Linked DNA regions of Danio rerio. The protein of the gene in region 1 interacts with the protein of each later gene in a biochemical or structural test. Links are inferred from orthologs where the notes say so. Each region holds a gene or a part of one and is shown on either strand. Other genes may lie near its edges.

Region 1 (4,266 bases):
TCTGTTTAAATGAAAATACACACATTGTCCCACCTGGTAAAATGATTACTGTTAGTTACAGGTTTGACAATTAAAGCTGTTAAAGCCATAAGTCAGAGATGCCCAAAGTAGGGCCCACGGGCCAAAGTTGGCCCATGGTAACCTTTGATTTGGCTCGCCATACCATCTGAATAGAGAGGGAGAATGATGGGGAGGTGGTGGGGCGGATGCTTTGGACAGAGATCGTCATTTTGAATTGAACGTAGTCTTTTGTTTCTTTGTTTTATTGCTGAGCTAAAAACCCCACCTGAAATTAAATGATAGGATTAAATGTTGTAAATGTTCACTTTTAAAATGTGAAAACTGTCTCTTGACACAGATAGAGGACAACGCACAAGTCTTCTACGAGCAAATCAAGGTGAGGGCAGGTGCAGCTTCACTGTATTCTCCTTTGAACTCCATTTAGTCATAAATAAGATTGTTTATGTTGTTACTCTATTAGTTCAGTATAAAATGTTACAATTTATACTGCGTTAGTTAATATGACTTAAAGCAACATTTTTAGGAATAAAACAAACAGTTCACCTCAGCCAAAAGTTAAAATGGGCTTTTAATTTACTCTCAGGTCTTTCATAGTGTCTTTTTTAGTTGAACTTTAAGGATGATTTAGCACAAAAGGTGGTCTTTGGTCATGCAAGGTCTTTTAGTATAAAAGAAACAAATAAATAACAAAAACCATGTAATTAAAATATATAAACAAATATTTATTTTCAATACTATTTATTGTATTATTTTAATTAGTCATTATTATATTATGCAATTAATATTTTATACCCACAATATTTAATATTTAAAAAGTGTCTTATATTACAAAAGCAGAAGGATTTCATATTATAGCCTACATTCGCATTGGAGTCCCTAGCACAAGAATGATCATATATGAGGGTCTTTTAAAGACTGAAAATCTTTGTCTTTGATTACTTATTGTTCTCATCAGTAAATGGTTTTAAACAAGTGTCTGTCAAAAGATTGACTGGAATTTTTTGTGATAGTACACTTTCACATGTGGATATTATTATATCAAATGTTAAACATATTGTTACTGTATTACCATTATTACTTAGACTACTTTTATTTCGGTTGTTGTTATAATAATGATTATTTATTGTAATAATCGTTGTTATAACTGTTTCAAATCTCTCTTTACTGGCACCACGTGGCTCCATAGTAAGTCTGGAGTGACGTCACAGAGGGGAGCCGTGCGCGAACACAGTGTGGGCGGAGTCAAGGCCAGGAAAAACGCCTTTTTATCCTTTTAAACGCGTCTGACATGCGCAGTGGTTTGAAATTCGGGCTTGGTCTGTTACACAACTGTGTCTTTCTTCATTCTGCCCACAGCTCCTCGCCGGCATTTTATATTAACAGGCTTTTAACTGTGTTATTTTAAAAACAAGACCCATAAAAATGAGTGGGGACCATTCCCACAACGATTCCCAGGTAAAGTGTTTGTGCTTTGTGGTTGTCAGTTATCTTTTTTCTTTCTTGATGCTTTGTAGTCACTAGCTCGGCTGTTTAAATTCCATCCGCAGCGGCAGTTTTCCACCAGCATGCTAAGCTAACAGACAGTGGAAGTCGGCTTTGATTGTGTTAATGGAGTATTTTCTATCACTCGCGGCTTTACTTTTAATAATGTCCCCTATCAAAGACTTCATTTTGGGAATACAAACTTTGTATGCTCTTCTGTCCCTCGCAGCGGTGGTATTTAAACGTTGTTGTATGAACAGGCTTGTTAGCTTGAGCGCTAACCGCCGACTAGCATCAAGTTGAAAGTTAGCAGCCTATTGACATGGCACGATTTAACATTAACTGTACACCACTGTTTTTCCGCAGATCGACTCGGGATCCAGACATAATGGTGAGTGGGATTCGTCTAATCGCCACGTTGTGATTAAAATACAATTTCATACGTTTTAAACCTCTAACGCTTGCTTGACGACCAGTTAGTTTTAAGGACAGAAATGGCGTCCCAGAGACTAAGTCCCCTCTCGCTCACTGACAAGCGCCTATTGTTCACATTGAGCCCTTTTAAAACGCTTTTACAATGCTTCAAAACCAACAAAAAATGTCTCTTTCGAAAGAGAAAGAGATTATTTGTCAGTTGGCGTCGTTTGAGCGTTTTTGGAAGATGGACAATAAGCAAACGAGGCTTGTGAAAGTGAGGTTTTGGGGGTTGAGGACTTAGTCTCTGCGCCATTTTCTTTTTCTCTGTCTAGCGGTCTGAGTGTAGTGAACGTTAAGTGCACATCGACGTGATTATGGAGGCGAAGGATTGAGAAACGTGGGTGACCTGTTCTGAATCCTCTCACCAAAATAAACATGTCGACCTCAAATACATCTTAAATCGATAAAATGTGATGAAATAAAACAAATGTTCACAAATCAAATCAGTAAGTAATTATTCAGGAATTGGCTATGATGCACGTTTTTTTTGTCTTGATGTGTGCTGTAATTAAATATGCGTAAAAAAAATTAAAAATTGCATCCAGATTTAGTAAACTTAAACGAACCGCTAATGAGGGATTTCATTGGTCCTAAACCTGATTTCACAGTGTCATTGGTCAGATCAGTTGGGTCATGCAGGTTCAAAACATGGTCATTCAGAGACATAAATTGTCAATTTACACAATTATAAATTGTTTGTTTTTACATAAAACTTATAATAAAACATTTTCTATATAGTTTTAACTTGCCATGGCATTAACTAAAGTACTTTAACACCTGACACATTTCTTTTGTCCATGCACCAAATGTCTGTTAACGTTTTAGGTCCATAACTTTACTATAACAAGTTCTTGTAAACCCGAGGTGGCAATGAAACAATAAAATGAAAAATACTTGACCTTTTTTTATACATTTTCAGTTTAAAAGATTTTAATACTTGTATATTATTTAATGCATTATGATCAGTTTAGTTGTTTTTATGTTAATGAGAAGAAATTTAAGAATGTAGTGCTTGCATTTGATCACATGATCTAACTGCATTATCTGTTAACCGTAAAGGAGTATTGATTGTGTATTGATAACATCTAGGCCTACCCAATATTGAAAAAACCTGATATTGTGATATTTTATGGTTCTGCAATTAAATATTGGTTTGAAGAGCTCTATTTGCTGGTTTTCTGGGGAGTCTAACAGTATTCACGTACAGAAATTGAATTATCACAATGCAAAAAAATGCTTTTCTTCCTTTGGTTCGTCTCATTTCTAGTCCAAATAGCAAAACCTTTTCAGTTCAAGTAAAAATATAGTTTTATTTTAAAATTTTAATTTATTAAAAAAAAAGTTTTTAAAGCTAAATTCTCTCAGTGGATAAAATCTTAACAAACAAGTAAAATCTTGTTTTTGTGTTGAAATTTATGTGTAAAAAAAAAAAAGTAAGAATTCTGTATAAATACAGTAATTAAATACAATTCTGTAGCCACTCGGTTAACTATAATCCAGACTCAACATTGCATGTCTTGAGATGTGAATATTGAGTATTAGCACATTGTGATATTGGTGCTGAAACGATATATTGCGCAGCCCTAGTAACATTTTAGTTCTCTGTGACACAAGAACTGATAATCAAGTGTGTAATCTATAAATTCATTTCCTTTTTTTTTAGGCCATTAGTAACATTTTGGTCACTGTCTATTATATATTGTTAGTAGTAGTTTTTTTATATATACTCAAATCGATATTAAAAACAATAATGGAAGTTCAAATATATTTTTCTTCCTTCGCTCCTTTTTTACCAAGCAAAATCACAGCTGAACTTGACAGCCAGCCATTATGCTGTTTTGTTGCACTTTGATAATTAATTTTTTGGCCAACTGGGAAATATGAGAGTTGGCAAATTATTTCTGCTTCAGTGTTTTAAAAGTGCCACAGAGTTTCCAAAATAAAAATAAAACCTACAATAATTATGCATGTAATCTCATGAAATATTTTTATTTCAAATCTTATTTTACCCTTTTCTCCGCTCCCTTCATCCCCATTTCTTACTCTGAGCATGATGCTTCTGGTGAATATTCTGCTTTCCTCCAGAGCGTTTATGAGCATTTAACCATTGCTGTGCTAATACATGAACTGCCTGTTCACACCATGCCACTGTGGTTGTCACTATAGGGAGATAAAAAAAAAGTAAATCAGTGTCTGTCACAAATAAAATTAGACTATTTAATAAACGGTGACACAGCGTGAAAATTGTTTCTTTGTGCTTTGCAGGTTTTGTGCGTATCTGCACAC
Region 2 (4,315 bases), on another chromosome or scaffold:
TCATACTGACAATATACTGATCCACATTAGAAACATGACATGCCTTGCAATGACACACACACACACACACACACACACACACACACACACACACACACACACACACACACACACACACACACACACAGACACACACACATATATATATATATATATATATATATATATATATATATATATATATATATATATATATATATATATATATATATATATGGTAATGACATACCAATATATACTAATCATACTTGAAACATACTCAGAACACCTTAGCAACCACCTAGCAACCACTCAAAACACCTTAGCAACCACCTAGCAACACCTTAGAAATGACCTAGCAACTGCTAGCAACATCTTAGTAACCACCTGAAACACCTGAAACACCCTAGCAACCACCTAGCAATGCCTTGCAATGACACACACACACACACACACATATATATATATGGCAATGCTTTAGCAACCACTCAGAATTCCCAGGCAACACCTTAGCAACGGCCTAGCAACCAATCAGAGCATGCTAGCAACCACCTAGCAACACATAAGCAACGAGCTAGATCATCTATAGCAACCACCTAACACCTCCTTAGCAACCACTCAGAACACATCAACCGACTAGCAACATCTTAGTAACCACCTAGAACACCCTAGCAACTGCCTAGAAACACCTTAGCTACCGCCTAGCAAAACCTTAGCAACCACTCAGAACACATAAGCAACCACCTAGCAACGTCTTAGAAACCACCTGGAACACCCTAACAACTTCCTAGTAATGCCTTAGCAACAACTCAGAAGTCCCAGGCAACACCTTAGCAACCGCCTAGCAATGCCTTAGCAACTACTTATTAACACCTTAGCAACCACTCAGAACACCCTAACAACTGGCTAGCAACACCTTAGCAACCAATCAGAACAACCAAACAACTGAGTTGCAATGCCTTGCCAACTGCATAGCAACCACTGAGAACCCCTAGCAACATACCAAACTATATTGGAAACATGCTAATCTTTTGATAACTGTTTCAAACTTAAAACACTTCAGTTATTTAAACTTCACACTTTCAGACTCGGCTTTCTCAAGAGACCAAGTTTGTCTACGAACTTTAAATTTCTAGTTCATTCATTCATTCATTCATTCATTCATTCATTCATTCATACTGTTCAATGAGCGCAAAAAAATCAGAAAAAAACTGTTCAAAAGAACCGAATGGAGATAACGAGTCTGAACAGCAGCGACTCGGTTCACATTGAGCTTCGTGAACGCGCATATGGTAAACGTCATGGGTGTAGTGGGCGGGGTTTTTCAGGACGTACTAAAAGCGTATCGAGCGCTCTTTTCTGTCCTGTAGAGAGAAACACGTGTGACTGAACGGTTCTTACCATCTCTCTCTTTCAGTTATCAGCTTTACTGTAAAAACAGCCCTCAGTCATGGTAAAGCTCGCTAAGGTAAGATATTACCGTCAATCCGTTATTGTCGCTTTAAATGCAGCACGGATCTCAAAATGCGTATTTTCCTGTTTTTATTTTTACATTTGGCGAGAAGGCCCATGTGTGTGAGTTATATTTAGTTTAACATATATAATATTCGTCGGAATGTAAGGTTAAATATTCAAATACTTATTTAAGGATCAGTATTGACGGCTAAAATGAGCTAGCGTGTGTTTTCTGCTTTTCCTGTTTGTGAAGGTAACATGGCCGACCACGCTTCTGCATTTGCAGGCCTCAACAAACACGCATGATGAACATGCGTGGTGAATTTTAAGAAGACTCGTTTTGTGATGTTGTAAAAACAAATTGCGTTGATTAATAAACCCTGGGGAGGTGTTAATGTGTCGTGGATTTAGCTCCAAGGCATTTGTTCGCCATGCGTGGAAAGTAGCTAAATGCTAAACGCCTCCATTTTGGCTCTCTGTAGTGAATGTGGGGGCATTTAACACGTATAAGACCGTGCACTAAACACAATTGCGTTTTAACTCGTGTTTCACTGTTTATATGAGTCAAGTATGTAAATGCGGCACGAAATTTAATTTAATTACGTTATTTCTACTTCGCTGTAGGGTTAACGTGTGTTTTCCACGTGTTACGTTCAACCCACGTGGGATGATCCACGCGGGGAGTTTCGCGAGCAGTACTTTACTTTTTGAGTACTTTGTTACAGATCCATACTTAAGAAATATTCATTAACAGTCATAATTTTATTTTAGTTTATTATTTGTATAAGTACATTATTTACATTAAGTCATGCACTTAATAGTCAAATTTTAAAAGGTTGTACCACGAATGAATTATATGCAAAATCTCCAATAACACGTGTTACACCTTTAGTGATTGAAAGGTAAAAATGTTGGATTTTAGGAACCAATCTAAATATTTTAATTGGTGTTGTGCCAGTCTTGTATTTATCTTTTTTTTTTTTTTTTTTTTTTTTTTTGCACATTTGTCTTATAAATGTATTAATACTAAAGATGAAAAGTTTTAGATGAGAATTCAGATTTTTATGCGAAATCTTACGCTTGTTTATGCAAGATTGTGTTTGTGTTTTAAACATGCACAAGTTACCTGTGAACTTAATGAATGCCAAGTCTTGTTAAATGTACACAAGTCAACATTTGAGGATGGTTAAGACCTTTCATTGGTCAACTATGTCTGTCTTGAGACAACTTGGGTGTACTTTTTTTTTTCCCCCCCTAGATGTTTAGTTTATTTGACCCTTTCATAGCCCTAACTGCAAGAGCTAAGGGGGATGTGCGATTTGGAGAAAATGTCTTGATTGCAATTTTTGTTTTGACAGATTTTTTTGATTTGAGTCAAGATTCAGCTCAGTCTGTTTCACTGCATAGATATGATTATTATTATATATGTTATTATATATTAATAATATTAATTTCACCATTTATTCAAATTAGTTGTTAAATATTCAGAAATTGAAATCATTTTTCGCTTGAGCAAACAGTAAGATAAAAAAAATTACCTTTCCTTTTTGTGCATCAGCTCAAAGTAAGGAGATGATGTAGCTTATTTAAGGTATCTGCAGAATTGTAAAGTTTTAAAATTAAATATATATGAATTTTAGGCCTTAAAGTCTTTAATCCGCTGCACTATTGTGTTGTAGGTCTTAATTTTAAACTGGTCTTAATTTTCCTCTGTAAAGCTATACCCAATCAGGACAGCACCCGTCTAATAACTAACATTATATTTCATAAGTTTAAAAAAAACATCATTTACACTATTTGCATATTAATATGGTTTTATTTATCTTTGCAAAAACATTTGTTTTTAATGATATGGTTTTAACTTGGCCATTAAAAAATCTTTAGTGTTTAGCCTTGTGCAAGTCTGAATTGGTCTTAAATTTGACTTGCTGGAACTTGTAGACACCTTGTTATTATACTTACAATAATATAATAATTGTGAAAGTACACTCCGCAAATTAATGAGACCGATAAGAGGCAGATTGAAAAGTTCTGATTGGGCAGAACGAAAGTGTGCTCACTCAATCGGCTAGTAAGACTTGACATTTGCTCTGAGTGTGGGACATTAAGTACATATTCTACATCGTAGTGCATTAAATCAGAATAATTGTCACTGATTTAAGTGAACATTTGTATAAAAATTCATGTAGGGTTTTTTTTTTCATTAATATATATATAATGACATTTGAGATTTCAAGTGTGAAAAGATTAATAATGGATCATGCTATAAACATGGTGACATTCAGAATTTTGTATTCTTGTCAGCTTTACCAATTGTAAGTTTCTAATTCAATGCAATATGGTTTCAGCTATGACTGTTTATGAAGTATGAACGCTGAGCATACAGATGTATTAAATTTATTGCACTTTTAAAGCTTTATATAGCCTAAACAAGAGTAGCCACACCTCATGATCTCCAAACAAATGCTGAAGTGAAAGCGTTCGAATGCATCAAGATTGAATGTGTCATTGATTGAAGCTTAAACTATATGCTGTCATTTCTGCATAATGGCATCTAGCTAATTTATAAAGGGTGGAACTCGTGTTTAATACATGCACAAGTGCTAAAACAATCTGTTAAATCTTTCTTGCACCGCAGGACTGAAACTGAAACTGAAACCATTTGAGGTTTCTGTTGACTAAATGTGCAAAGCTTTGACTGTCTAGTTGCTAAATCAATTTCTAATCGCACAAATCAACATTTAAATTAATATTTTCATTGCTTGTTTGTTACAGGCAGCTAAAAAAGATGCGCCGCCGAAGAAAAAGGCACCTCCACCTCCTAAAGAAGTGGAAGAGGAATCCAGCGAGGAGGACAGTGATGACGATGAGGAAGAAGAGG

The links.
Region 2: the proteins of top1a (region 1) and ncl form a complex in vitro, tested with the Homo sapiens proteins (2 studies listed by BioGRID and IntAct). The link is inferred for Danio rerio from reciprocal best matches to the Homo sapiens genes TOP1 and NCL.

Annotation. Positions count from the first base shown.
Region 1 is NC_133186.1:27,367,277-27,371,542, forward strand, and holds the start of top1a (DNA topoisomerase I, like), read left to right. Parts: upstream 1-1,323; 5' UTR 1,324-1,443; coding exon 1,444-1,476; intron 1,477-1,869; coding exon 1,870-1,894; intron 1,895-4,266. UniProt on the Homo sapiens protein: Releases the supercoiling and torsional tension of DNA introduced during the DNA replication and transcription by transiently cleaving and rejoining one strand of the DNA duplex.
Region 2 is NC_133197.1:38,758,551-38,762,865, reverse strand, and holds the start of ncl (nucleolin), read left to right. Parts: upstream 1-1,295; 5' UTR 1,296-1,429; coding exon 1,430-1,447; intron 1,448-4,209; coding exon 4,210-4,314; intron 4,315-4,315. UniProt on the Homo sapiens protein: Nucleolin is the major nucleolar protein of growing eukaryotic cells. It is found associated with intranucleolar chromatin and pre-ribosomal particles. It induces chromatin decondensation by binding to histone H1.